Drosophila melanogaster: one gene and its partners. The protein of the gene in region 1 purifies or fractionates together with the protein of each later gene. This does not show direct contact. Each region holds a gene or a part of one and is shown on either strand. Other genes may lie near its edges.

Region 1 (10,490 bases):
GCAGGGATATCCAGGTGGAGCGGCAATTGTGGCGACAGTGCCAGGAGGAACTTGGCTTGCAGCGACTCAGCAAGGACGACTCTGTAACGCCGGACAAGATGGTCATGGCCATACGGCATCTGCTTCAGAGTGGCGTCAAGTCCTGTCGCGGTCTCAGTCTGCACATCACGAACTATTGGTCAGTGCCCACCGATGGCATCGTCTGCATTCCCTGGGACTTTATGTCACGCGAGAAGTAGCGCATCCTGCTGGGTTGTGTCACTTAAATTGCATAAATTGGTAGATAAATTGAAAGGTTTGGGCTTACGCTTTTAAATGTTCAACTCGACATTCCGGCGACTTTTTTTTTTATTTCTGTGTCGTTGGGTATTTGGTTTTGGTTTACCTTGTTGCTATTGATCGATTGCAATTGTTCATTTATTATTTCCATTGATCCCGCGCATCATTTGATTGTTCCTTATCCAGTGGCCAGTGTCTTTGCGCTATTTTACCGAGTCAGCGCTGGAATCATTGTTTATTCAGGTAATTTTTATTGTGTGCCTGCGTTGGTTTGGATTGATATTTTGCTACATTAGGCTGGCCAGCTGAATTTCCTTCTTGGTTCATTACATTCTTTAGGCTTTTCGGGCGAACTAAATGCATAAATAGAAGGACATTCTGGTAAAAGAGCACACAGGCAGGACTACTGAACCAAAGTTCGCAACTCTTGCCCGAATGACTGGGATTTTCCTGTACTTTTCGTTTGGCGTTGCCTTGCCTTCTGGGGTTGAACGTGTCCCCGTACGACTTCTGTTGCCACTACCCATTTCCAGCCATCGCATCCCTGCAGATAGAGAAAAAGGAAAGCTGTTTTTTTTTTTTTTTTTAATGAAAGCGTATCAATGGAACATTTAAGTGCTTAGTATGAGCTACTAGAACTTCTAACCATTTACTTGTCGTGGAAACTGAGAGCAGTTTCAGTTGGTTAGCCAAAAGTTTTTCGCAGTGCATGACGACCCTTTGAGCTATGTTTTCCTTTGCAACCCCGTCAAGGGGCGAATGGAGTGGAATGGTCTTGTTGGGCGGACGAAGCCCATGGATCCCGCACCCTTCGTTTTCGCCACGTTGTGCGAAATTTCTGTAAGATTTAGCTAATGTTCCATGGCTTCGCTCCATCAATGTCGAGCGCTGGGCATGGGGATGGTTTGCCCGGCGAAGTTTGTCTGGTGTCGCTTATCCTTCTTGGGGGGGGTGGCATCCCACATGGCACCCACTCGATTTCCAGACGTTGTCATCCACCTCCGACCCACATTATCCGTCGCGTGTCCGTGTCCACTGGGTGGAGAATCCTTTTCCTTTTCAATTTGCTCTTAGGCATGAGTTATGACTTTCTAATATCAAGGATCTTTAACATTTCTGAAATATTGGGAGATATAAACACATACTTATTCCGCTTCCGGTTGAGGAACTTTCTGAATTTCCTTGAATTTCAAGTAGTCCATGAGTTAAACGAATTCAACTGTCAAATTCTTTTATATTACTGCTCCCATATTCAGAGCACAACTACGAGCACTAGCACACGAATAGATTTTCCACAACGTTAAGCATATGCAAACATCTAAATTCTACGGTTCTACATTCGATTCCATTCGATTCGATTACGATTGCCCTCGTTTTTCAGTTTTCTTCGAGATCCGTTTCTATGGCTAAAATAAATCTTTGGTTGGGTAAACTCCGTGACTCTGTTCTGTCCAGGCTGCAGGTGAGTGTTTGCAAGATGACAAGAAGATGGCCAATGAATCCATCGTCTCTCCAATAGAGCATCAAGAAACCCCTACCCCTTCCTTCGACCAAGGGCCCCCTCAATGCCAATGAAACCTCAAATTCCGAAGGTAATATTAGTGACTTTCAGCAGGGCGATCCAATAATTCCACCCATCGAAGCTAACAAAATGATACCGAGGCCTCAAAATGGATTCGTCAGCCGAGCCCTCTACTACCGAGGATACTACATTAGGCGTTAAAGGATTCGTGCCTAACATGAAATTCAGTATAAATTGAAAATTTTACACACCGGACTCGTAGTCTCGGATTAACCAAATCGAGCCTTGAAACACCGGCTATGTTACAAATTAGCTCAGTAATTTCTTGAACTTTAACAAATCATCAGCAGTGAAATAAGCATGTGCAACATTTGGTCTAAAATCAATCAATCAATAAACATTTGTACCTTTTTTTCTCTTTTTTTTTTTTACTAAATATAAGCCAGCGGATGCAGGATACAAATCCAAATGCGAACTCATCCGAACTACAAGTGCTATATACTCGATTTTTCATTTGGCCGAACCAGAGAAGAGGCGAGCACTTCTTGTCCCCATAGAGATTTGCAGCTGAAGTGGGGTTTGAGGTACACACTCGCCACTCCCATGTGTGCCTGATTTGCACCATCATTAAAATCATCATCGTCAGCGTTTGTAATCTAATTTGCAGTCATCTCATCACCATTTGACCCCATATACTGTGGGTGCTCGCACTCGCACTCAGCTTGCGAGTATCCTTTGCAAAAGTTTTACGCCCGGCATTCAATTTAAATGGGGTGGGTGGCCTGGCCAATGGCCATTCGAAGGGTGGTGGTGTGCTTGTTGAATGAAACAAACCCAAACCCGAAACTCGAAATGCGAAACCCAAACCCAAATCCGAAACCCTAACTCAAAACCATGACAATCTCTTCGAGTGTCGCCATGAATAGATTTCGCCCACAATAGATGGGTCTAATGAAAGGGGTGTGCCCAGTGGCATGGGCACGACTTGGAAAGATCTCAAAATTGGAGCGGAAAATTGCATAATACTATGTGGTCCTACTACATACTACATTTGGATACCTACGCTACATGCTCGCGCTCACTTCAAATTTCTTTTATTGTACAGAATTTAGTTAGTGTATAGTTAAATTAGTAAATATACTTAGTATACTCTAGGGGACACTGCTGCTTGCGCTTCATATCTTAGGGATTACGAATGATGGGAGTGGTGTAAATTGATTTGCAGTGGATGGGTGTGGCGGAGTGGTGGAGTGGTGGAGTGGCGGAGTGGCGGAATTGGCGGAGTGGTTTGTGGCTGCTCGGGCCACCGTGTGAATCCTTCACTATCCTTTGCAGTACTGCAAGAGCTCCCTGTAGGTGCAGCCACCCGACTTGCAGCACAAATCGGTTACGTTCTGCAAGTCGCGCTTCCTGCGCTTCCCGAAACTGTTGGCTGTGTAGGGTGGAGGGGGACGGGATTTGTTTGAGATTAGAGTTCGTCGAAATGTCAAGAATCATGGGACACACTTACGAAATACATCGCCAAGGGCCACCGTTCCGCTTACGCATATCTTCTGTATCACATCGCTGAGGCCGGTGGAGCACATCATGCGTCTCTGTTCGTATTCCGTGGGTGCGAGCGGACTGGCCGCCACCTGGGGCATCCAGCTGCTGATCATCGCCGCCACGGCGAACAAGGTGGCCAGGACTAGCAGGACTTTGGACGTCGGCACTTTGAGAACCATCTGCAATGGGCACAGATTGTTAGATTGCTTAACAACGCTCTGAATCGCTGAGGCAGTGTGCCCATGGATATGACTGATGTCACTGTCATCCCCCCGCATAGCCCCCACCCCCCCCCCCCCAAAAAAAAAAAAAAACCTGTGTGGCTTCAGCATGGCCATGGATCGTCAAAGGACACGGTTCTTCGGAGCCGGCCAGATAACTACCCCATCTCTCTTCCGCCTCGCGCACGCGCCTGATCCCCTGGTCCCTGGTCTCTGGTCTCTGGTTTCTGGCTGGGTTGCCTTATCAGCAACAACGCTCAAATATTATTGTATTTTCCATTCGATTCTGTTATTGTTTGTGTCTGGGCTGGCCAGGAAATATATTTACATAAACTTCAGTGTTTAAAAATAACCCACCGATTTGCCGCCTTGCTGGGCTCCCCACTTATCATTTGGAACATGAGTTCTTTTTATACACAATCAGAAAGTCGTAGTGACTCGAATGAAAGGGGGATGGAGCGGGATTGGGTGTTCGTGGGGCATATGCCCCATGTGGCTTGTTTGGTTTTTTTTTTGTTTTTGATATTGCTTGCTTTTATGACTCTCCTTTGGAAACTCGGTTTTCAACCACACTCCATATATAGTAATGTGGTTCAATGTTTTTCCACTTCTGTCGCTTTCGTTTTCACAGCGATATAGACGAGTACATGGGTGTATATTTAGATGTCGCACACCACTTGGCTGATTTCGGCTGGTTGGTGGGTTGGTTGGTTGGTTTGTTTGTTTGTTTGTTTGTTTGGTTTGGTTTCATTTCCTTGGGAAGAACCGATCTCGGCTCGAGTTTTGTTTTCATCGTGATAAGAATCGAGAAGAGGTTAAGGCTGTCTTTGTGTCAATCTCTAGTGATTGGATGGTTCAAGGGGCTGGAGGTCTTACACTTCTCACATCCTTGAAGGGCTTCAATTTTTTTAATCTTGTGCGACTTTGATTTAAAATAAAGATTATGGCGGATTCCATGTTTTTTTCTTCTTTTTTTTTTTAAAGTCTATGCCTATGAAATTGAAAAACAAGCGTGATAAGACATTTCTGGTAGAAATCCATACCCGTCTTATTCTGTCCTAACTTTGAACTTGTGTTTCTTAGAAAATCCGATCCTATATAATATGAATGAATATATATGTGTAGTATATGAACTTACGTTTGCATGCCGTTTAATCCTTGTTTTTGTAGTATTAATTAGTTTCCTTAGTAGTGTAGTCCTCGATGACGAATGACTAAGAGTGACTTATGATATTTATGTTTTGTTTGATTTCGTGGACTATAAAATATATATATGGTGCTGATATTGGGAGCTTTTAGTTTCGTGTATATTTTGTCTCTTTTCTCCGGCGCTTCCTTTCCTTTTCTGTCTTTAGAGTTTCTATCGGATTATCACTTGCTTAAGGAACTTTCTTTTTTTGCTAATTTGCAGATTTTCTTTTGCGATCACACAGTTTCAAAATCACAATCAATTGACGAAAAAACAAAACAAAACGACTAATAATAAGGGGTAACTATCGTTTTCTGGTGGGATTCGTTTGGGTTTTTTTTTTTTTAAATGTTTGTTAGGGTTTTTACGTGCAAAAAAAAAGGCGAATTGATAAATATCCGTGAGTTTGGCGATTGACGTTCGATCAATGTCCTTTTAAAATCGATTGGCGTTCGGAGTGTGGAAAATCGAGCAAGTGGTTAACTTCTGGTGCGTCTGCTGCGTTTTCGACTGCTGTTGCGGCTGCTGCGTTTTCTGCTGCTGCTGCGCCCGCCAGTTGTTGTTTCATCGCGTGAAGTATTGTGGCAGGAACAGAAGAGTGCGGGTATACGTCTCGGGCCGCAGGAGAAGGAGGTGAGTGAGTGAGAGGGCAGTCGACTGAGAGTGCGAATTGTAGCGGTATTCCGCTGTCGTTGCGACTGGCTTGGAATTGAAAACGCTTTTGGAAGCTAGACGCTTGGTTGCTGGAACGTAAAGCTGCCGTTTTCTTCGGAGTATCTCGTATTCCTATCTGCCGCGATCTCCCTTCCACAGCCTCTGCCTCGGTCTCAGTCTCAGTCTCTGTCTCTTTCTCGCTCACTCTTCGCTCATGTGTCGCTGGGCTGGCTCTCTGCACGTCCTTATCTCTATCTCTTTCGCCGGGAGAGAGTAGAATCCGAATCGGAATCCGAATCCAACAGCTGTTTAAAACACTCTCCAATTGTTTGCCGTTGTTTGCGGTTGTTTATTTTTAGACCACCAGTGGGATCTATAATTAGATGCAGATGCTGTCTTATCACCACTTTCTTGCACTTTCTTTCACTTCCACCCGTTTCGCTGCACTTCGGACGAACTCTTCTCGCTCGTCGGATCTTACACTTTTTTTTTTAATTGCACTCTTGACGAACTCTACTCGCTCGTTGTTTGCCAGGAAGACCGTTCTTCGCACTGCCTTTCTTCCGCTTTTCACGCTTTTAATTGCACTCTTAGCGAATTCTTCGCTCGCTCGGAAGAACGTTCTTCGTTGTTTCACAGCCAAATTGGAAAAGAACCGTTGCCGCGACGCCAGCGCAAAACGAAGCCTCACTTTACGCGCGTGCGAATGAGAGAGCAGGATGCAGCGAATGCGCAGCACGTGGACTGCAGGTGGAAGTGCGAGCGAGACAGCAAAGTCTCTGGAAGCAAAGTCCAGTGTCTTGCGAAAAGGAAAACGAAAACGAAAAAAAAAAATATATATAAAAAAAAAACAAAAAACACAGTAAGCACAAACAAATGCTTAAAATTAAACAATTTGCCGGCCATGACACATTCAATCAACTTTGGGTCACCATGGGTCCGAGTGTTTGCGGGTGTATTAGTGTGTGATTGATTGTGTGAGTGCTTGAGTGTTTGAGAGCATTAATACAGGGCAACGTCAGTACGCCGAACTTTTGTGGGTCAAGATGTTTCTTTGGGGCCAGATCGGTTTTCCAGAGTGATAACATAATTCTTACTGCTTCTCTTCCCATTACTCTAAATCTTAACTCCATTAACCTAATCTTCGTCTCTAGTCATACCATCAATATACATATGTACATATGTATGTATGTATGTATGTAAGTAGCTAGCTGGAGGAGCTTCAGTCAAAGTTCAAATGGTAATATCAACCAGAATTGCGTTTTGGGTTGTTGACGTCCAGCTGCGTTTGCAAATTTAGGAATTATGCGATTATCGCATAATAAACATACGTATGTACATATGTATATAGTCATCGGGCAGTGGTGAGTCAGATGTCGGGATGTCAGGGATTGGGATTGGGATTTGGGGCTCCAAAATATCGACTGTGGAGTATATTGGTGCGAAACCGAGTCTAAAAGAGCGCATGATGATAGTTCGGGTTAGGAATGTCGGACTGTATAAGCATACAATGGAATAATCATATTAATAAGATCGCCTTTGAACAAAGTACACACAAACACCGCTTGTGCGGTAGTGTGTGGGTGCCCATGTGGGTGTGGTGTGTGTGTGTGCGACAAATGCACACAGCAACAGCGGGCACAACAACAATAAATAGAGTGAATCCATCAGTGGAAAAGCAGCATCCAGTCCACGCTCCATATATGCACTTGTTGATTTTCATTTTCCCTATTAACGCTGCCGCTTCGTCAAAGCGACAAAGTTCACTCGCTTAGAGGACTCCAAGCTACATACATATGTACATACATACATACCTATGTATGTATGTACATACGTACATATATAGTTTTTTATTCACATTGTTTCCGCAACCCTTGCTCCCAATTTTCACGAATATATGTATGTAATTGACACTTGTTAACGCTCATTTGGCCAAAACGATGATTTTCATTTGAAAAACTGTAATTTAGGGATATTCTATTGACTTGGGGCAGATACTAATCAATTAATATCCCGTGGAAGATGCAAGCAATTTGGGTCTGAAACCCTGGGAGTACCCTATATACGACCAAATATACCCTGTATACGACGGGGTCTTGGGCTTGGCTTGGCTTGGCTTGCAGATAATGATTCGGCGATAAGCTTGTTGATGTTTTTGTTGCTGGAACTGCGAGTGCGACTTCTACTGCACGAAGATGAAGAACGGAAGCCGATGGGGCAGCCCAAAAGGGGGCGGTACGGGTCAGTGGATGGAAAGGGGGGCGGGGGGCGATTGGCGGTACGTTGGGAACGCCTGCATATATCAGTGAAAAAACCGTAAACAACGCCAACGTGAATTCGTCGTGATCTAGTTTCAATTCAAAATAAAAGATCTCTATTTTTAGCATTACTCTTGGCACTCCGTCGGGAAAAACAACAGAGCGGTGAAGTCGGAGAGAGAGGGAGAGAGAGAGAGAGTTGAGTAAGGAGAGAAAGAGATGGTGCGAAGTGATAAGGGGGAATGGGGGGTGCGAGGCCCTGTGCGCTAAGTCATCGCGAAAGATAAGCAAAGACTTCATCTACATACTGAGAGAAACAACAATGACGTACCTATCCAAATTTGAGTAAATAATATATGTACATATGTTTGTTAACAAACCTTCGAGTTTTCAATTCCTTGATTCCTTCGGAATTTATGAGTGCAGATACTTTCAGGAAACTTCATAGGTAGGAATGCCATCTGTTGTTTTGGGAAGAGACTGCAGAAGGCGGCGATTGAAAATGGTCGGGCTGGTGTGATACGGATGGAGGATCGGCGAGATCGGAGATCTCAGTGCCTTGGGCAATACGCAATACGCGATGCGGGGCAGAGTCCAAGGTGGGCAGAGCCACACGGTCAACGATTCGGGATTGGGAAGGATGCTTAAATATACCCCGTTTCTGGCTGGAAAACCCGCTGGTGAATCATGACTACTGGAGCGGTAGTGGAGCCTATATAAACAAGTTAGTGGATTTGGGGGCTACTCTATTTATTGGCCCAAGACATTTGATTCGTATGTTGGATAAACCGCTATCGCAGTTGTGAGTGGTGGAAACAAGAGCGGCCTCTTGGTTTTTTTCCTTTAGCCAGCGCTGCAGATAAGCCGCAAGTGGGGGGCGCCTCAGGTCCACCTCCCACTACAACCACCCAGTACACACACACACACCATCCCCAGCCCCCTCCCACCAACACTTCCCACGCGGCAGCGAATATTGTTTACTTGTGCTAAAATTGGATCTCCATTGATTGACATCTGCGATCGGGCGCCAACGCCAAGACATCGCGAATCTATAGCTCGCAGCTCGCAGCTCGCATCTCTCAGTTTGCAACTCACAGCACGAAGCTGTAGCTCAGACGCAGATTATTGACCCAGAAGCGTGGAGGAGGTTTGTTGTTGATACCAAAAGCCTAGACATCGGCGACAACAGTCTGCAATCGTACTCGCATTATAGGGGCAAAGAGAAACAAGAGCAATAACAAATCAAATGCCCATTCTAGCGAATTGAACTTTGCAATTAAGCCGCAAGTTCCATCGAACTGGCTCTAATGCGAAATTCCTGGATGGGGTTACCAATCAAATGACATGGACTTTTTGTCCACTGGTTACAATGAAGATTTGACAATGTTCCGCTCAGCTGAAGTGTGCCAGTAAATTGGTTCATAATGATTTGCGTTTAGTAGCAACATTGATTTCGAGCTTATTTAGCGCCATTTAAAGAATAACATATTCATAATAAGTTACTTCTTAATATTTGTCTACTATGGCAGGAATTTGTAAATGAATAATTAAATAGTATTCATTCCCAAGGGTGGATTACGAATATCCGCTGCGTTGCTTTGGTAACACACCTTTGCATATTTGATGTCCATTTCAATTCGCATTTAAATATTCAAGAATCTGTTATTGTTGTTCCTCTTTTTTTTTTCACTCGGGAGCTGTGCCAAAAAAAAAAAAAAAAAACAGCTCACGAAATTATCGCCCGATGTCAATAAACTGTCGCCAACGACCCCAAAAAAACAACAACAGCATGCTGCGGTGATGCCTGATGCTGTGGGTGGTGGGTGGTGGGTGGCGGAGTGGCGAAGTGGTTGCTTGGGGGCTTGGGTGTTTGGGCTAAAGAGCAACAATCGATGGTGGCAGCCACCAGCGGGCATAGACACACATTTGCTGGCTATACTTCTTGTTGGCCTCCACAATGGTGGGCGGTGGGCGGTGGTTGGTTTTCCCAGCTGCCAATGAACTGCAATCGGCTGAACGGCTGGGCGGATGGGCGGACTCAAGGTCAACGCTTGGCACACAGAACTCTGTGGTTCAAGGAGTGCTGAACTGGAATTGAACCCACCGAAACAGCGAGAAAGCCAAGGGGCCTTGAACTCGGTTAACACCGAAAGTGGACAATCAACTAGGGTCTTAAAGTGAATTCCTTAATTCGCCACATAAAACCAATTTCTAAATTTATAAACGGAGCACTTAAAAGTGTCAAATAAATAACACCATGAGTTAGTAGGGCATTTATCCAAATTCGCGGACAAGTAGCAAGCAACAACAAAAACAAAAACCGCATGGAGAGTGTGAACTAGTGAAGTAACTAGAGATAAGTAAAGATTGGAGTCCTTCGAGGAATTCGCAAGTCTAGTGGATTGGATTCAATATGAGCACTATAAGCTAAACACTGTTTGTTTACTCGGCACTTCAAGGTTGGCTCGATTTCAGTTCATCCGTCAATGAAATAGGAACCACTGACCCACAAATCCCATCTCTAATCTGTTTTCCCGGACTCTCCGGCTTCGTAACCGTCTTCGTATTCGTAATCTGCGGGGGTCGGCCATCTGGAGTCGGAAATCGGGAGTTGGGGCGCCGTCTACCATCCGTCTGGCTGGCTGGCTGGCTGGTTGGGTGGCCGGCTGGTGACCTTGAAAACGTCCAGAAAGTACCGTGAACACGGGGACTTTGCACCCATCGAAAATTGAGTGTCCCGATGAACTTTCACCCGAGCTTTTCTATTTCCCGTGAAACAGAAGCCAGCGGGCAAATCACTTGAACGACGCGTGGTCCCGACT
Region 2 (8,455 bases), on another chromosome or scaffold:
AGTAAGCCGAGTATATAGACGGCCATAATGCATATAATGTAGCCACTTGCAGCCGTCCGTCCGCTTATCGACTGAATTAATACACACTTCTGATTATAAATTCGCAACATCCGGCTGCGATCGATTCAGAAATATGGAAATCGAATCGAAAAACGTCAGTCGCGGTTCATTTTCCAGGGCAATGATGGGCACTTAATTGCGTTCTTGTCGGGGCCCCAATCAATTACATAGCCGCTAACGAAGACCCGATCCCATCCATTGATTGACTATCAGTCCGCAACGAACCCACCCATACATACGCATCCATATGCCCGATCCGTACGACACTCGGTTCTCTGGCATTAACCCAACGTCGTTAATGGAATCAAATCGGAGGGGCGAACGAATCGCGCGTCACACAGTCACACGACCAGCAAGTCCAACCCCCCCCCCCCAACACCATGTGCTCCTCCGATCCCCCTCAGGCCACCCATGTGCCCCAGCGATTCATTCATTTTTAAATTCCTAAGACGCAGCAGAAAATTTATGAACTAGTTGTAGTAAATTTCGACGGAAAGATCAAGATATACGTATATACTTTATATACAGATATCAACTGTGAGAGTTTGGGATTTTTTTTGTTGAATGAACTACTCGTACAAGATTGGCCAAAACCAACTGGGCACGGTTTATACTAGTTATTTCTGTGCGCGTGGCCGGGTCACTTTAGGAAGTTCATTCAGATCCAATCTAGGCTATTTAGTGGCTCTTCCTTCTGAACGCGTTTCGCTGGGTGGCATTGGCATACAGATACATTTACAGATGCAGAGATACAAGTGCCGCCACATAACACGGATACTTGTGTAGATAAGAGCAACTACGCATTGCTCGGACTTGTAGTATGTAGTATGTCGCCATGTGATAATGTTTTTATGCGATGTCAGGTTATCAGCAGACCAGAGTGGGCCGGACCTCGTCTAATAGCATAATGGCATTTCCACTGCGTAGATTAACGCCACTACGCCCTGCCCCACATTCTGTCATCTGAGCTGATATGATCAAAGAATGCTTCACATGATTGAACCACAATTCTGATTGCTCTTCTTTTCTGTATCCTTTACACACAGGTCACATTGCATTCAGTGCTCTGGATGACACCTCGCACTCGGTGCACGTGTACAGCATCAACGGCTGCAGTCTGGGCTCCAAATACGTTTCTGGCAGGGTGACGGGATTGGCTAGTGCCTCCGACTACCTGGTGGTGGCCGACGATGCCGGCGATATCACCATGAGCAGACTACACGGGTAAGAATTGTAATATAGCACATTTGTTACTGACTTATTTTACCTTCTTCTTTTCCAGCTTGAAGCCCGTTTTCGACATTCCCCTGCACGTGCCCATCCAGACGGTGGTGGTCACTCCGGGCAACACCCACATTCTGGCGCCGCTTCGAGATGGACGCTTGGCGGTGATCGCCGTGCAACTGCCCTCCGGCGGCAATAAGAAGCATTCCGTGCTAAATGTTTAGGTTCAGCAGGAGCTGGAATGAACACTGGCTGACCTACTGAATTCCCGAATTTTACCCTCTGCGTAGCATAAGTTGTAGTCGTTCTAGTTTCCTTCGTTCTGCTTTTAGCGCACCCTAGTTTTATTTATTGTGTCTTGTGTCATTTGTCATGATTTATTTCCTATCTGCTTCCCATGCTACGTGACGTGCCAAAAGCAAAGCGCCTTTGACCAACTCAAAAAATTCCCAGAAAGTTGACAAATGTATTTAGAGGTATTCAGCAAGTCGATCGATTGCATTCGCGGAATTTCCATGCCAACTAAGCATTATTTCCCCATCACATGTGCGTGTACACCTGTCTGGGTCGGCGATCCTCCATCCTGGGCGGCAGAAATGATGGATGGCACACTCCCCTTCTTCGCTTGATGAAAATCTGAATGAATAATCAATCATTCCATTTGTGGCGGTGCGGAGAGATAGCTCGGCAAATGGGACGCAGGAGACGGGAATTGGAGACGGAAAACTGGTTGTCGACGCACTTGGCAACTACAACTACTTCTCTCTGACTCACGAGCGACTTTCAAATTGGCCGAAATACAAAGAAAAAGAATTAAGACCGAAAAAAAAAGCGCCCGGCAACAGCGGCAAGGCGCTTAAAAAACGGCAACCGTTCGCAGAGATCGACGGCATCCAGCTGCTCGGTTGATCAAGAGAAACACTTTCGTTGCGCCCCTTTTCGCCTGCAGATACAACCAAAAATAGAGCCCAGAGATCTTTGTCCCATTAAGTACGCACACTCGGATCGCATGGTATTGCTACCCAATCATTAACAGAGCATTTCCAATTGAAGTATTATCACCACAGCACGATCACAGTCCGTCCACACAGATCCGAGATCCGCATAGGCAGACAATACCCAATACTTGGTGCGCCAGAGCAAGAGATTCTATCTATTTCCATACCACCCAGTACGAGTACCAGCACCAGCACCATTCCGATCACCAAACTTTCTGCCTTTGATCTTACGCGCCAGCGATTGTGAAAAAAAAACCCCTCACAGACTCTGAAATCTGAATTTCCAAAGACATGCGACAATATCAAAGGTGACTTGAGAACATACATATATATTTTACGAATCGTAATCGCATATATAGTATAGAACTTTCGCACAATCGGGTCGTGAGATTAGCCCCCGCTTTGGAGCCAACCTATCAATATCTATCTACACCAGCAATATATAGTATATCATCTGTGTACGTAAAGGTCCTCCGGATCGAGATCGTTATTTGTTGTTAAGATCGTATTGCAAAATATGGCAAAACTGTTTTACCCGTTCAATGTATGTACGTAACTGTACGAGTTTATGTAGATAATGTGACTATTCGTAGTTTGTAGATCCGTCAATAAAGTGATGAAAAGTGTATGTACTCGTAGCTGCTCGTTTTATTCACCCATTCAGCCCATTGAGTACTTTTGTTTCAATTTTCTTGTATTTATTCAAAAACAATCGCTTGAAGGTTGGATTAAAACTAACACTAAACAATTAGAAAAACATATTTCAGTTCTATTACCTTATAAATTAAAACATAGTCGGGTAGCTTATGAAACTGATTAATTCCGTGAATACTATTCAGTGATTCTGTATGGGTGGCGATGCTGAATGAATTTGGTCGATCAATAAATTAGTTGTAGAAATGATGGGTGCACATAAATACGAATTGGGTGGGTGATTGACTGATTGATTGGTTGATTGACTGTGGCTTGTGCCACGAGTCATAAGTGCTTCTTGGGCTGCAGTGCCCTTAAGTAAACGGCCAATTAGTTTAAATACGTTAACTAGTGCTGCCTGAATCGCTAGGAACAATCATTGCTACTTACAAAGAACCAAAGAAGCGTGATTACAAGCCGATAACTAAAGCTATAATTGAAGAAAACCATAAAGTAGGTGCTATAATTCGAATGCTCTAAATGTGACTGATATTCGAGGATAATAAGTGGGAAAATTAGTGTCTAAGCCGGCATTAGATACGGTTAATTACCTGGACTACGAGCTAGATTGTGCTTAATCTAAATTGTACATAATTGTAAATCGTATGACCTTTTGATCCATCATATTTTTTTTTGATTTTTTTTTTTTTGTATTTTTTCTAAGCATATTTCATTTCTTTTCACGCATCTTCGAAGGCATTTGATCTATCTAACTAACTAGATGAATTTCCGTCGTCAATCCAATAGCCTTTTGTTTTTTATTTGGTGGTAGGATCTTTAGTCTTCCTCATTCTGCAAGGACAAGAAAAATACGTAGGGATTACTTAGGATGAGTTGGTATAACCCGGCGGGTAGGGGAATACTTACAAGTACGGGATACACGAAGGTATCGGCGGTATCCTTTCCGACGACGTTGCGGGCTATGCACTTGTAGTTGCCCATATCCTCCCACTTGATCTCGGAGATCAGAAGATCGCCGTTGGCCAGCACCCTGTGGCGATGTCCTTGGACGATCTCCTTGTTCTCGTTATTCAACCAGGTGATCTCGGCGCGGGGACGGGCGTGCACGCGGCAGGGCAGCTGAATGTTGGAGCCCATGAGGTCCAGATGCGTCTTCTCGGTGTAGATGATTCGCGGTTTCTGGGCACCCGGGTAGGTCTTCTCCGGCGTCAGACGAGAGGAGCGAGGAGGATGCACCACAGTGCTGGCATAGATGGTCTTGGAGCCAGTGCGTCCCACACACGTGTAGGTGCGGGCCTCGCTCAGCACGTGGTCGATGATATGCGACGATCGGACGCGCACAATGGCACTGGGCGCCTCTTCGGCAACCTGGTTGGAGTCCAGATCATCGAGCTCCGAGCGGGGCAGGTGACCCACCACCCACTGGATGCTGGGCACTTGGGAGCCCATCATCTCGCAAACGATCTCGATGGTGGCTCCATCGGCCTGCTGCAGCTTCGTCGGCGGCGTCTTGGTGAACTTGAGCCAGTCGGCTTCGAAGGCTCGGTTGCGTGGCTTCTCCTCCTCCGCCTCGATGGAGTTATCCACGTCGTTGCTATCGTCTACCAGGTCCACGGCTCTTCCGCGGACAGTGGCGATGCTGCCGAACAGCAGCAGCGCTAAGGCGCACACATGTAAATTCATTTTCTGCAAGATCGATAGAGAGAGTGGAAATCGGAAGTGAGTTCAAAGTTCAACAGCGGCACTCGTACGACTCTAATATAGGTTATTAAACCCCAGAGCAACGTGATGCGATTAGCCCGACTTTTCAGCCAGTCATGCATCCCCCCACCACCCCACCACCCCACTTCCCCCACTCATCACCGCCTCCATTAATCAGGGGAGGTCTCCGAGTCTATTTCCCCGATAAGAACGCAAGGCCTTCAGTCGGCGGGCTCTAGAACATTACTAACACTTGCGAAATGTGCTAATGGCTCTCGGAGTCCGGAATTTAGATTCGGAATCCTTTTCCGGCCCCTAAGAGATGTGCTCGGTCCAAACGTAGATGAATGTATTTCACAATGACACGTCACCAGACAACAAGAATTGACAAAAGAAAATGATATAAGATTCTTGCGTGGGCCGAATCAGAGGCAGAAATCGAAAACGGAAAACGGAATGACTCGCGGAGTGTGACGTCAATTTAAATTCGAATTCTACAGCCCGATTCGGATTCACACACTCACCCACGCTTCAGCCGCAGATCAAGGGCCAATGTGTCCCCATAGTCTAGACTGGACAAACTGCGTGACCGATTAATTATTCAAATAGTTTCGAGGGTATTATGTATGTACATACGCTTGTATGTATGAATTAGTAGTAGCCCCACAAAAAGTCATTCGCCAATCGCTGGCGAATGTTGCATCAGACGGTCTTTGCCCTTCGACGGTGATTTTTGTATCTTTGGGCATTTCTACGAATTCGAATTTTGAAAAAAAAAAAACAAACGAAAAACGGAACACGAAACTGCGTTCGGCGGCAATCACCTATCTATTGTTAACGCACATTACTCACCCTTTGATTTGATTTCTTTTTTCTCTTCCGGTAAAAAATGTTTGCAAATTTCTCCCCAACGTTGGACGATGATAGATCAGGTAAAGCAGAAGCAGGTCGGCTTATCGTTATGTTATGAACGAATTTATCAGCTCTATGTTGTGATGGCTCCTGGTCTGGGCTTTCTGGTTGAAGTTGAGCAGCAGCTGGCTTAGCACTGACATAGGTCCGGCGCTGGATGCCGTCTTGGAGGTCGTGCAGCTCAGTGTTGGTGGAATCTTGGCTGCTTGCCGGTCTGTCTTGGGCGACGAGGATGGATCGTATTGAAACGTCTGGGTGCTGTGCTCGGGAGTGGCGCTTCAGGATCGGGATAAGGATCGAGTAATTGGGTAGCGGAAGCGTGTTAATCTCAGGCGGCGTAGCGAATATCTAGCTGACTACTTTGGCACATTCGATCCTCGTGGCGGTATCAGTGCTCCTTCGATGTGGACGTGGACTTGGTCTGGTACTTCTTGATGGTTGTCTGGTTGGCGCGGCACTCGTTTGAATACGCACGGTTCATCGACATTACACTCGAGTCAAGGTGTGTTGGTTTTTGGTTTTTGGGGGGGATTGCTGCTGCGAATGCGGTTCACGGCGAATTGAAAAGCGAGGATCGCGGATCGGCTTAGTTAACTTCGGATCAGTTGGCTTCGGCGGCTCTCAAAAGTCGTGTTCAACAGCTGGAAACTGTAACAGAACTGAATTGGTGGCCGCAGCGCTGTTCCATTTATATGCGACGCCGGCTCACTCACACACACACACAGACAACAGACACACACACACACACTCTCACTCACTCGCCGCTCTCTCTCTGCTCGTTCTCGGATCGTAATTCTTTATGCGACCGCCGCACCGGGAAGGTGCGGAACAAAACAGATATAACCGGACGGGGGGTTCGATTATCCGCCTCGGGATCTGTCTTTCCACCGCCTAATTGCGTCCGCAGTCCAGAGTTGGTGGTTTGGAAACTGAGGTGTCTCACAAGGATAGCTCAATGACTTTCCAGCCCATATACCATTTCATTTCGATCTTGACAATTAACATTGTCATCTTATGCAAGTTGTTGAGAACATACAACAGTGTTCGAGATCCTATGACTTTCTATCACATGTAAGTAAAATTAATTAACCCTACATATAAAGGTGCTTCACACTACTCTGTTAATATTCATGAATCATTTCGACGAAGTGCAAAGTATCAACCGTATATTATTCGTTTAGCTTACTGAATTAGCACTGTAGTTGTCAAAACCATTAATTAAAACTCCATGGTTTCGAATTCATTCGAACGAATTAATTTTGTAATCCATAACCAATCTCCCAATTAATAACCACCCATGGGAATCAGAACTTAAAGCCCGTTGACGGTGCGAGCAGCATTCAAATGTCTGGCCAAGAACAGACCACTTCTTTTTTTTTTTTCTTGGCCCAGTCTCCAGAGTGGTTGCTTAGCTTGGGGATCGGATTGGCGCAGGAGGAGGTGCAGTGGCACTGACATGGTGCAAGGTTCCATTAGCCGAGACCGTGTCTGAGTTCGAATCCGATTCCGAGTCCAAGTCACTGGCTTGTCCGTCCATCTGTCCAATCTGTCCGTGCGATCGCCTCATTGCAATCAAGTGTGAGTGCCAGTTTGTCTGCGGCGTTCGTTGGCTGAATGAGGAGCGCTGGAGGGGGAGCGGTAGGCGGATGGGGAGGTACGATACCACAAGGTACACTGAGAGAAAGGATTCGGAACTCAAGCATTGAAATGAAATCATATGTATATTTAACCATATCTTTAATCTCAGTTTACTTAAATGTTCCACTTCTTTAAAAAATTTCTTTTAAAGATATCCACGGGAACCACCGTTTTTTCCAAGTGCATTGCTGATTGGCTGCTCGTAAATGTAAGTGAACATCGGTGGCCAGGGGTGCGGTGGTCGGGGTGGACGGGGTCCAAACTAGTCTGAGCTGCCGTTGCCGGCCGGGAGCTTGGAGCTCTGAGCTGGAAACTGGGACCGCGGGCTGGGGACCGGAGGTGCAGTTAAAATGGCAGACAGACTGGCAGCCACATCGCGTGTTCGCTTTCCGCTGTTGCCGGGCGGCAGCCGCTTGTGGTCAGGATGATGAGGGGTGGGTAGGGGCATTGGGGAGGGGGGTGGCTGATACTGAGGCACCGCGACTAGTTTCTTTCTTCGCTTTATCGACAAGCCACATCGACAACTAGATTCAATTCTACGAGTAATTTATTTATTGCACGTTACACAAATCGTCCGACCGCAGACGGGTCTCTCACCGCCCCACTGAAACCCCCTCTCCACGACCATGTGTCAGCCCCCTTGCCGCCACAGCTATCCAACCCGCCCGCCCCCCTCAAGCACTTGGCAGCGGCAACGAGCCAGCCACAAAGCGAAATTCAATTGAGAGAAAAATCTTGCAGGTGCTTGAAATTGTGTCTCGTGCCGCCGCCTCTCCTTGGCCCGCCAATCCCCGCGAGCCCCAGATCAGTGCCTCCTCCGCCCCCTGGACATCTCCGAGTGCGCTGCTCCTCCGCCTGCTCCTCATCATCATCAGCCTTGGACGGCACACCTCAAAGCGCTGGCAACGATATCGTAACGCTGACGTAAGGGGCACTGAATTGAAATGGCCTTTTGATGCGACTTGGGGAGCACTTTCTACAATAGGAGGCACTGCCTGCGATCCGATCCAATCCGATCCGATCCGATCCCCTCACGTAACATTCGCCAGTGACGCGGTCAGGGGTTGCACTTCCTAGATGAGGTGGACACACGGATGCAATTGAGCGGGATCAAACGGGGCAATCAGAAATAAAAATCGGAAACTTTGAGTGTTGAATTGAATTTGATAGCCCCAATAAAGGTTGATGAAAGTGTGGCATTATATCACCGATATAACAAAGTGGAAATCAAACAGCAGAAGTCAAGATTCACACTTGGGAATTATAAG
Region 3 (11,555 bases), on another chromosome or scaffold:
CATTGCTCATTGCAATGGAAATATTACAAGAAATATGAATTTGTATTACAATATATATACCCTTTAATTTACTTGCATTCTTATGCAATAGAATGCTGGCTTTAATTTGAAAACTTTCTAATTGAAGTGCTATCGAATTTAAAAGACACACTCTTAGGCACTCATTTTTAATTTTAATTGGACTCCATTTAACGCAATTTGGTTGAACAAGACTTGTTAGCAGTTTGATTGAGATTGAAAGCTTTTTAAATTTGATTGAATTGAGGCTTGCGGAATGCACGTGCAAATGAAGAGCATTGCAATTTTATGAAGTGTGGCAAAGAAAGTAAAGTAATAGTTTTACCAAATTAAAAATGGATTTCAGTTTGTGTGTTTTATACTTGCTCGCCTCTTAAATGGATTATGTAATTTTTGATGACTACTTATGAAGTAACATTGTTTGCACTCGAATGTTTTTATTGTTCGTTATCCCAAAGGTAAAGGGAAACTCCAGTGCACTTGCTGTGTGGTCTGTTTTGGCCAACTTCTTGGACGTCTTAGTGTAGTTTTCAAGCAGATTGCTGTGTCATGTGTCCAATTGCATCAGCCAGCCGGGTTGAATATCCTGTCAGCTGCTGCGAGGTGCCACATCAATCAGGATGCAAGTGCTCCAACTGAGCGGAAAGGACTCGAGAATCCCGGGAAGAAAGGCTGATGGAACAGCTGCTGCCATTGTCTATTTGCCGGATTGCATTTTTCAGCAAACTTAATTAATTCTCCGGCTCGAGCTGTAGAGTTCGTAATAACAGCAATCATAATGGTAATGGGTCATGATGAGACAGCAGGCAGGCAGGCAGTAGCTCATTGAATTGGCAGGGCCATAAATTGCATCGACCGCTTGATTTATGGCCAACAGCCATGTGCAAGCCGCCCAAGGCCTCCTCCTAATTTGGCACTTAAATGCAGGGACGTGCGTGGGCCGCCTACTCACGGGTTGACTTATGTCCAAGTTTTCCCGTTTCCACTCTCCCATCCCTTGACTCTTCCCACTGTATTCCCGATTTTCTCAGCTTTTCCCGCTTTTCCCGGGTAGGCATATGCACACGTCCTCGCTAGCGATTCCCATCACGCGCCGCAAAATGGTGTTACGTGTTTGCCGCCTCGGATACTCTGGTGACTGGAGTCCACCGCATCATTGCCATCTTGCAACTCCCGTGCGAATTAAGTGAGTCAGAGATGGTGCTCTGCTCAAAAAAGCCATTCTAATTTCCTGCTGGCTTAAGAAAACTTTCATTTTATTATTGGAATAATTATGAAAACATATTCACTACAAAATAAAATGGTTTCGCAGTTGTAGAGCATTTTTATTAAATACTAGCTAGCTACTTCATCATCGCTGGAGGGCTGTTGTCAGTTCCCGCTGCCCCTTTGGTTGCCCCTTTCAAACGGCGCCTGTGTGCTGCTGGCATATTCAATAATTGGCGCCCCTGGTTATGGGGGCTTCCGTGGTGAGGGGTGGTAGTGGGCGCTGGTGGGGATGCTCATAGTTTGACGTGCCGCCGGAAAGGATGCTGCATTAAATTCCGCGCGTTTCACATCAGCGCAGGCTCTGCAAATTACTGCGAAAATTGATTCACAGGCGGGTGGCGGGAAAACGGAGAAAAAGAGCACATCAGCTAACGAAAAAATCATTGATAGTTATGCCTGTGTGGTTTTTTCACACGTTTACTGCGATTTTTTATGTGGGTGCAGCTGGTGATTTTGCGTGAATTTGTGCATTTTGCACTCGTTAAAAAAAGATACAGTTTATGGCAGTTTTGTTTTTAGAAATAGAAGTTGGCTTTAAGCATATTTAAAGCTAAAAATAACGTTTTATGATAAATAATAATAATAAATTACTGCCTATATTGACCATTGATGATGGTTTTATCAATTATTAACTAATTTTGAATGGATTATCGCGACGGTAACATAAATTATTATGTTTAAAATAATTTTTGGAATAGATATAATAACTAAATAATTATCCTGGGGTGAATTAGGCAGATTTTATCCGCTGTTACATATGTAATGATATATTCAAAGTACTACACTAAAGATATACCCTATAATAACAAAGTGAAAATTTGAAATTATTTCGTGCGTTTTTATGTGGTTTGCCCATTAAAATATCTAAAACAACGGGGCACAATTTTGCGCAAATTATTTATAGATTTCTATTGCTATTGTATTTAACACATAAATATATTATCTATTTTTTTGTTATTGAACAATCATTCAAGCTGCGTATTCAATTGGCATCTGACTAAATTTAGAAAATTCTTTTTCCGATTCCATTGAGCGTTACTTGCACCTTAATGAACTGCCAATTGCGCGTTGTTCAATGCTCACTACTCTACCAATTGGATTGGAGCTTTGGTTCACCCCCTCCCACCATTTTCGCTCTTATTTTCACTGTTTTTTTGCATTCACTCTAATTGAATTGTTCGCCGGTGCAATTTAATTTCTGCGCAAATGCAAAAACAAAAGGCAAAGACATGCACTCTGGGGAAAAAGGTAAAGAACGCCGGTAGGTGGCTAAGGGGAAGGTAGCTAAGGAGGAAGGGGGAAGAGGATCCAACCGGTTTGCAAATGGTTGCAAGGTCACATGGGGAGTGGGGGCGTGGCAAGGGGCTGTGGCGGTTGCAGAAGTAACAAGTGTTTTTCGGCTGACGGCAACAAGGAAACGACAATGAGAAAAACGTGAAAGGTAACAGATGCGTAAAATAATCGCTCCCCAACAAAATGAAACAGTGGCGTGCCAAGAATTTCAAAAAGGGTTTCCAGTTTTTGAATTTCATTTGTAGCTCCACAAATCGATCTATCAAAAACCGTAAAAGATCATACGAATTATCATGGTACTCTTAATCTTAATTTTAAGTTTCGTATATCACTTTTTTAATTGACTGCAAAAGGGCATTAGGGGGTTTAAATTTGATTGAGAAAACTAGAAACAAACAAATAGCAAGACCGGCAAGTATATTATTTTACGATATTGTTTTACGAAATGTTTACTTTCATTAACGTAAATATTACCAGACTGCTCCCCATCGAATCATCAGTCTTCTTCTCTCACAACAGCCACCACCTTTGATTTTCATTCTTGAGCAGTTTTTATACACCGAGTCGAAAAAATAGTTCTGGTTTTTGAAGATATTTAGATATTTATATTAGAATTGGCTCTATCAAACAATATGCTAAATATTTTATTATTGTAATAATTTTGGAAATCTGCTTAAAAGATATTTTGCTTAAGAAAAAGGTTACTAAATATGTTCGCTTTGCATACATTTTTAGGTTCTTATAAATGTCGACAAATTTGAATAGTTTTATGAACACTACACGATTTTCCGCTGGTGTAGCCGAAGGGTTTAGAGAACGAAGACGAGCGCATAAAAAAGAAATAACAGTGTGAAACAAAACCAAACAAAACAAAACAAAGTGAATGCCGAAAGAAGAGGCTAATTAAAGAGATCGAAAGCACAGAACGCTGTTCGAATCGAATGCCATCAGTCCAAATCGAATCGTTGCCGCGAACGCAGCTCTCTTCAAAAGCGGAAAAAATATTTAAAAAAATATATAGTTCAACCGATCGATCGTGCGAGAAAAACGACATTGACATTCAAGCGGGCGCGCTAATTGATCCATTGGAAGCCCCCTTAACGCCCGGGTCAAGTGCTCTCAATTGGAAGTGTCAGGTGGCAGCATGGGGCATCTGCACCCCGTTCCCAACCCCCTTCCGATCCCCATCTCGATCGCAGTTCCGTTGATACTGCTGTTTTTGGGCGCCTCATCGCCGGTTTTGGCCAGTTCCGATGATCAAACCGCCTGCGGATCGTTGGAGATAAATAAGATTGCGGACCTGCGGAAACTGCAGAACTGTACTCATGTGGTGGGTCACGTTCGACTGGCCTATGTGGATCTGACGGATGTATCCGGCAACTACAGCCTGGATTCGCTGGCCAGCAATGTGACCGAGATCAGTGACTACCTAATGGTGTATCGCTGCACGGGTCTGATCAGCCTGCAGTCGATATTCCCACGGCTGCGTATCATTCGTGGGCAGGAGCTCCTCTTTGATCAGTACTCCCTGGTGGTCTACGAGAATCGCAATCTCAGGGAGCTCGGCCTGGTGGAGTTATTGCGCATCCAGAGCGGATTCATTCGCGTCGAATCGAATCCCTTGCTGTGCTTCGTGGAAACCGTCGATTGGATATATCTAATGGGCAATGCCACTCGGCAGCACTTTTCCCTTAAAGTGAGTGAAGATATACTTGGGCATATGTTCCTTGATATTAAGCAAATATTGGATAAATAACTTTTTTATTAACCATAGCACAACAGACCGCAAAGTCAGTGCCCTTTGTGTGGTAGCCTGTCAGCGGACTTCGAGTTCATCCGGAACTCCTCGGAGCGCTGCTGGAACGTGAATACGACACAACTTCGCCCCCAACCGCCCAGACTTAAGGACTGCCCCATTGCATGTGGCCTAAACGGATGTGATAGTGCGGGCAAATGTTGTGATCACAACTGTGTAACTGGTTGCTATTCCCAAAACTGCTCCCTTTGTGCAAACTACCAGGGAAGAATGGGATGTGTCAATCAGTGTGTCGCCAGCTATGAATTAAACAAGAGGAGGTGCATCGGTCACAGGGAGTGCCGGGAATTGGGAAGGATTCCCCTGATACGCGGCTATCAGTGTGTGAAAAAGTGTCCGGGAAACCAGAAAGAGATTTTGGTCGCCAAGGGCATCATCCACTGCCAGGTGGAGTGCAACGGCGATTTTCACGTGAAGAGTGCTGCCGACCTGGAAGTTTTACAAGACTGTGTGACGATCAATGGTTCACTTACCATCGAACTCACCAATATTAAAGGTGTGTTTCATATCATATATGATATCTGTATAATTTACTTACATAATACATTTTCCAGAAAAAATTGTAGATGCCTTGGAAAATGCGTTGGCCAGTGTTAAAGAGATCACTGGGTATCTGAAGGTCATACACTCTGCACAGCTGATGTCGCTCACATTTCTTCAGAATTTGGATGCCATAAGAGGGGATAAGCTGGTGGAAAACAAGTTAGTTTGAGAGGCAAGGATTGTATTGAAATTCTAATAATATTATTTATCTCATTTTCAGATACGCCCTGTATGTAGTGAATAACTACCATTTGGAGCACATTTGGCCACCCAATCACCTGGTGATCATTCAGCGCGGTACACTATTCTTTCACCTGAATCCCCGCCTGTGCTACGAGAAAATCCATCAGCTACAGGGCTCCCTGAAAAGCGGAGAGAATATATCCGTGGCAGATGTATCCCCCAATTCGAACGGCGAACGCGTGATTTGTGGCGACGCGGTGCGCTCCCTCAATCCCAAAGTGGAGGACCTAAATTCCACTGCGGTACGCATCATCCTGGACTACATGGACTGGGAGGGTATGGAAACGCTAATAGGATATTCGTATCACTACAAGGAAGCCCCGGTGCAAAACGTGACTATGTACGATGGTCGGCATGGTTGCGGTCATGACAAGTGGGTGTGGACTCCTCGCCCTCACCAAGTTTACCTACAGTGATTCTGTTTATAATTTTCCAGCTGGCTGATGGACGTTGTGCCCAACCAGAGTCGACGTCATGTGATAAGCGGTCTGAAGCCCTACACACAGTATGCGTATTTCGTGAAGACCCTCACCAGAACCGAATATCATATTCAGATAGATGCCTACTCAAAAATCGGCTACTTCCAGACGCTACCGGATAGGCCAAGTCCTGTGCTCCGAATATATGGCAGTTCGGAAATCAGTTCCCAGATTGTAAGTACTTTTCAAAATATATCTCTCAGCTTAAAAACTTGTTCATTTCCAGCTTCTTCACTGGTGGCCACCGAGGCGTCCAAATGGAGTCATTAAAAATTATTTTGTGACCGCCGAAAAGTACAATGCTACCAAGGAAGCAAAGGACAAAAATTATGTGAATGTTGAGTTGGAAAATGCTAAAGACATCGATTGTGAGTGCGCTGGTGTACTGCCCTACTATTCAGGTCCTCAGCCAGATGACGAGGATTACTACAACAAAGAGCAAATCACCTACGAGGATGCGTTGCCCAATCTCATTTATGTTTCGTAAGACAAGAAAATATGGTTTTCTTTGAAGTTTCAATTGAAATAATATACAATATTATACCATCTATAGGCGCAATCACGACTATCGCAGAAAGGAGTTCGAAAAAGTGATTAACTATGAGCACCTGTTGTCCATAAAGAAGGATGAAGAGCCCACCAGACCGCCCACAACCACTCCTGCTCCTACAAATGCAACATTGGCTAAGGAGAGATTGGCCGCAATTAACTATGAGAATTATCGCCTGAATAGCGAGAAGAAGCAGCGGGATCTTCAGGACTTGGACCAGCACAAGTATACCATCCGACATGCCTTGCCCAAGTGCCAAAACTCCCACGCATCCGTGGTCCAGCAAGTGGAGGAAAAATGCGTGGCTGAGGAGCCCTTGAGTGGCTACGAACTTCCGGGCACCCAGCACTTTTACTGCCTCTCCCAGTTGGAGCCGGAAACCCATTACCGGATCACCATACGGGCTTGCGTCGAGGGCGTGGTCAACGGATGCTCAACTCCGGCGGAAGCTGTAATCAAGACTGCAAGCATCCAACTGGAGCGATTCATCAAGGGTGTTTAGCAGAGAATCCTCGATCGCAGACTTTCTGTATCCGCTGACAAGTGATAAATGCTAGACCCATATGACGATAGGCATGTTGAAAACTTGATGCAATATCAACCTAAATCAACGTGTTTAACATTTACTATATCTGTATTTATTGTTCTAAAAAACTTGACATAGAAGGACCGCTGGACCTCTTATTTTTCCAGACTATATATGTCGTAGTTTTACTATTTGGAATTAATTTTTTTTTTTAATATTTTTCGGTTTTTAACTTTGATTATAATTAGACTGAACAGCTTTAATGCTTTTTACTTGAATCAATTGTTAAAATGTAATGTAATGTGTAAGCCGTGTCATATGGGCCCAACTAAGTATTGTAAGTCAAGTGACTGTAGTTCCTCCAAATGTATTGTAAATGTGTAAATGCCAAACAAATCCTCGACAAGCGAGCAAATGTTTTCATCAGTGCTAATTTGACTTATCAGCTTATCAGACTTAGCCGCACGTCCTTGCAATGTGTGCCAGAGCCAGAAACCGTTCAAAGGGAAAAACCCTCACTGACAGCAGTGATTCCTGAGATCCTCAACTTGGCCCGGAAAGCGGTTACCTTTCTCTCGAGATTGGCCATGGCATAAGCCTAGGCGAAACTAACAACAGCAGGCTGCCTGGAACTTCCAACGCATGCCACTTAATATGCAAATATGCCGCAAAAGAGCTTTAAACTTTAAAACACTGACAAAAACTAGAACTAATCCCCACCATCGAAAACTGGGCGGAAAGGGACTAGGTCGAGACGATGCTTTTGCTTTCGGTGTGGAGTGGAGTCAAGTCGAGTACGTGTCATGTGTCGCCTTGTTTGTGGCCAAGTTTTCGGCGCAGCTGGAAAAGTTCCATGAAAACGTGTCCCACTCAATGGGGAAAAGCGGTTCGTGATTGACGCAGGACTAAGTATGAGCGGCGAGGGGTGAGCGGGATGCGGGAAGCTAAGGACGCTCAGAGTGCCTGCAGAGGAAAAGGATTTCAATTCTGCCGCTGACACTGACGCGCAATTTAACTACCTTAGAGGTCGCGAGTGAAGTACTCCAAAGGGGGTAACTTGGCGACTATCCCTTCGCGTACTTTGGAAGCTTCACTGCAAGAAACTCACTAGCACAAATTTAGGTCATATATAATATACTGCAATTGAAAGCCAATCAATAAAAGGTATAACATTTCATTGTCTACAATAAAATTCCCTTTAAAAATACTCAAGTTTATCATATTTGTTAGTCTAAGCTAGAGTTTCTTTTTAGTGAGCTAATACCCGCTGGCAAACCTTATTCAACCTACTGAGTGTAACTAATCTCTTTTTCAATTTTTGATGTAGCCATTTAAATCAACTGGCTGGACTTAAAGCAAAATGCTGGGCAGCTGGAAACCACTTATGCCACATCCTTTGGCGCCGTCTTTAAGTGGAGGAAGGAAGAGATATGGGGCTGTGTGTGATCTTATCCTAAACCAATTGTATTTCAATATTTCACTGTCCCCTCCTCTTCGCCCTTTGCTGTTGCACCATTTTTCGCGTTATTTCCGTTGCCATAGACGCAGTTGTAGTAGCAGCTGTAGCTGTGGTTGCAAACGTAGTCCTTGCCGTGTAGCCTCGTTATCCTTGCACTCGTTTGTTATCTATGCACTTGCCGGGCCAAGCACTTTGGGTGCGGTTCGTCGATGTCAGTGCGTCAGTTTAGCAGTTCCTCCGTCCGCCCGTTGGTCCGCCCGTCCGTCCGTCAGTCAGGCAGGCAGGCGGACAATAAAACTGAGTGCACCGCAACTCGGACTAGTGCTGTTCAATTGGAGTTTATTTAATATATGTTTATCAATTTTATTTTTAGTCCGAAAATATGTTACATACCTGACATTTGTTTTTGACCTATTAAATTGCTATAGAAATCGATACTTAAAACTACCAGTGCGATACTAAGTATTGCATGGATGGTACAGAATATGCTTACTTGCTTTTGACTTAGCCATATTTGGCTTATAACCCGCTATGTGGGCAGCTTTGCCAATCCATATGTGTGCGCTCCTCGATTGTCCTTGCCCCAACTGGAGAAACGAAAGTGTCGGCATCACCTTCACCATCGGCGCATTAAACTCTGGGTTTTCGAATTTGGATTTGGTACGGGTCGGCATGCGAGTTCTGGGTTAGTGCATTCAGTCTGGGAACGGTAATGGTAATGATGTGCACTAGTTTGGACCTGAGACATTGATATATACTGAACACCATCAGAGCTTGTGCGAGTGTGTGTGTGTTACTATAAATGCAAGTAGTTGCCAGTACTAAGGGAAACCAATTGAATAAAGATAGAAAATTTAAATTTAAAAATCAATAATATATAAAATTGTATATGAAATATTTTTAATAAGTAACTAAGTATATACTACACGTTAAACGTTAAACATTTTAAATATTTTATCATTGAAAATCCCCCAAATCCAGTTACCAAACTTGCGCATACATTAAATTCTAGGCCACCGAAAAGGTCAAGTCCTTCTTCCTGCGACAAATTTAAAGAGCTTTGGATAATCCCCGACCTACTAAGCCCCGATTCCCCCCCAAAAACACAACTGTACCCCATCTTCAGGTCAGCAGTTCGTCAGCTTCGAAATGCGCGACTCGCACACACAATTGTCCTTTTCAATGACCATTGCCATTGCTTTGTTATCCTGTCGTTTTGTCTGGCTTTAGTCACATTACAAATCCAATTGCCAATGCGAGATAAATGCGCCCGGATAATATGAACTGGCATGTGTGGGAAACGGTCACTTAGTCCACAAGGACATGTACTAAGTGACAGCCGGAGGGAAAGTGCTCGGGGGGATGAGGATGAGGGCGTAGATGGAAAGCAGCTGATTTTAATTTTAGTTAAATCAAAATGTGCTGAGGCAGGAGCCAAGTTTATTGGGCAGGACCAGCTCAACTCAAAGGACCGCCATCCGACACGTCTGGACTCTTAGTTGGTTGGCTGCAATGCGTTGGGTCATCCATTTTACTCTTCCACTGAAAGAAACACAATAATATTGTCGATATGAAGTTCATATTTATATAAATTAATATAGAAATACTATCTGCTTGTTCAGAGTAAATACAAAATGTTCACCTTATAAAAATTGTTGGTCTGTAATTGAGTGAGTGATACAATTTTGTGGCCTGCTTCATAATAAACCCATTTTGGGAATCCTACGAGTAAACAGTTTTTTCCGTACCATATGTCCTATATTTGTAGGTCGAGAGAACTTAATTGCAACTGGGGCTTTAGCTTTGCGTGGCTTTTGGCCTGACATGTGTTTGCTTTGCTTGTGATCCATAAATAATGAAAAGCGCTGAAAATAGTTTTTACTCAGGCACTAAACTCTCACGCTGAATAAAAAGTCGAGCATGAAAACAATCAGAGGTCAGATAAGTAGTTAGTTTTCCACTTAATTGTCCTGGAAATAATTTAGCCCCGCCAAGGATTTGTCCATTAAACGTGAATAATTTACCACACCAATGCATTGAGTTGATGATTTGAGTAGCCTCGTGTGTGTGACATAAGTGAAATCAATTTGACGATTTATTTAGAGCTATTATTTCGTAGGCAATAACTACAGGTTCTCTGGCTTTTCTATCCGTCGGGTTCACCGGCGTCTAACAATGAACAGTCATTGCTCCACTTTTTGCGCTAAACGATTTCGTGGAACGGGACATGACAAGTGGAAATTATGAATGGGAAAATCTAGGCCCCAAGCTTTAGGTGATTGAATGGATTTCTGCGTTGACAAGGAGCTGATCGAGTGGATCAACGTCTAGACTGCCTAAATTATGAAGTCTATATATAGGATACAAATAAGCATCGAAAAGTGTGTTTACTTACGTAAGCAGTAATCATGTTACCTCCTTCAACAAACACAAATAGGTCTCCTTTCAATTTTCAAACAACCATACCCTTGTTTGTTTTTCATCCTTTTCAAAAGCCGTTGCAAAAACTTTGCTTTGTTTAACGCGCGTTCAATATTGAAAATTACACCTTAATTAAGTGCTATGCACGCATTGCAAATGTCAATAAACCGCTTAGCCCAAAAACCAATATCCTTTTGCACTTGTCGCAGTTTCCCCTCCTCGTCCACCTACCCACACCTGTGCTAGTGTCTGTCTGCAAATATGAACAAAACAGTTTCAATTGTTGTTGCGGCGTCATATTTGTCAGCCATTTGCGAATGTTTCCACTCGTACCCCCACTTCCGTTTCCGCCCACTCCGTTCGGTTTTTGTTCCATTTCCGTTATGGCAGGACGCATTCATTTTGGCGTCATCAAGGTTTCATGATGCGCTGGCAAAACGTGTCATCGGCACAACGATTCGTTCTGCCTGACAGTTGACAACTCTATCAAAAAGGTAAACTGATGGACCGAAAGGGGCTAGGATGGATTTTCCCGGGTGGCCACTGGAATGTGCGAATGGCAAGAGGAACAGGAACCCATGTCGAAGCTGCTCAATAAAATGTCATTCAACGCTGCTATACGTGACAGTGGCGGTACAGTAAATACAGGTGAGGATAAGCTAATGATGCAATAGTTTCAGTAGTTGACTTAAAGTTTATGTTCTTTAAAATAAGTAAATAATAAATGTGAATATTAATAAAGAGAATCTTTTAGTTACTGTTCAGTTACTGGAATATAATTGTATTCAACATATATTTGAGCTATTTGTATGAACGAAAAGACATATTTATTAAACTACAATAATATATTTGAAATTGTTAGAAGTCGCTGTTTAGGCATCCCACTGTTCCCTGAATGCGCGTGTGTTTTTGCGATTGGATGATGGCAGGGCGTAATT

Evidence for each region.
Region 2: the proteins of Ilp6 (region 1) and ImpL2 purify together in Drosophila melanogaster (affinity purification with western blotting, with the first as the bait; one study listed by BioGRID). This does not show direct contact.
Region 3: the proteins of Ilp6 (region 1) and Sdr purify together in Drosophila melanogaster (affinity purification with western blotting, with the first as the bait; one study listed by BioGRID). This does not show direct contact.

Annotation. Positions count from the first base shown.
Region 1 is NC_004354.4:2,328,615-2,339,104, forward strand, and holds Ilp6 (Insulin-like peptide 6), read right to left. Parts: upstream 6,045-10,490; 5' UTR 4,706-6,044; intron 4,297-4,705; exon of another isoform or gene 3,925-4,296; intron 3,795-3,924; exon of another isoform or gene 3,662-3,794; intron 3,526-3,661; coding exon 3,312-3,525; intron 3,234-3,311; coding exon 3,124-3,233; 3' UTR 2,879-3,123; downstream 1-2,878. Other genes in the region: CG2854 (uncharacterized protein), read left to right, coding at 1-239. UniProt on the Drosophila melanogaster protein: Possible ligand of InR/insulin-like receptor.
Region 2 is NT_037436.4:4,221,085-4,229,539, forward strand, and holds ImpL2 (Ecdysone-inducible gene L2), read right to left. Parts: upstream 4,867-8,455; 5' UTR 4,809-4,866; coding exon 4,800-4,808; intron 4,623-4,799; coding exon 3,843-4,622; intron 3,768-3,842; coding exon 3,753-3,767; 3' UTR 3,626-3,752; downstream 1-3,625. Other genes in the region: CG43367 (uncharacterized protein), read left to right, coding at 1,107-1,284, 1,343-1,508; CG46460 (uncharacterized protein), read right to left, coding at 5,597-5,692. UniProt on the Drosophila melanogaster protein: Essential developmental role during embryogenesis, in particular the normal development of the nervous system. May be involved in some aspect of cell adhesion.
Region 3 is NT_033777.3:14,915,154-14,926,708, forward strand, and holds Sdr (secreted decoy of InR), read left to right. Parts: upstream 1-3,474; 5' UTR 3,475-3,724; coding exon 3,725-4,276; intron 4,277-4,354; coding exon 4,355-4,892; intron 4,893-4,950; coding exon 4,951-5,098; intron 5,099-5,159; coding exon 5,160-5,555; intron 5,556-5,618; coding exon 5,619-5,835; intron 5,836-5,887; coding exon 5,888-6,144; intron 6,145-6,214; coding exon 6,215-6,713; 3' UTR 6,714-7,930; downstream 7,931-11,555.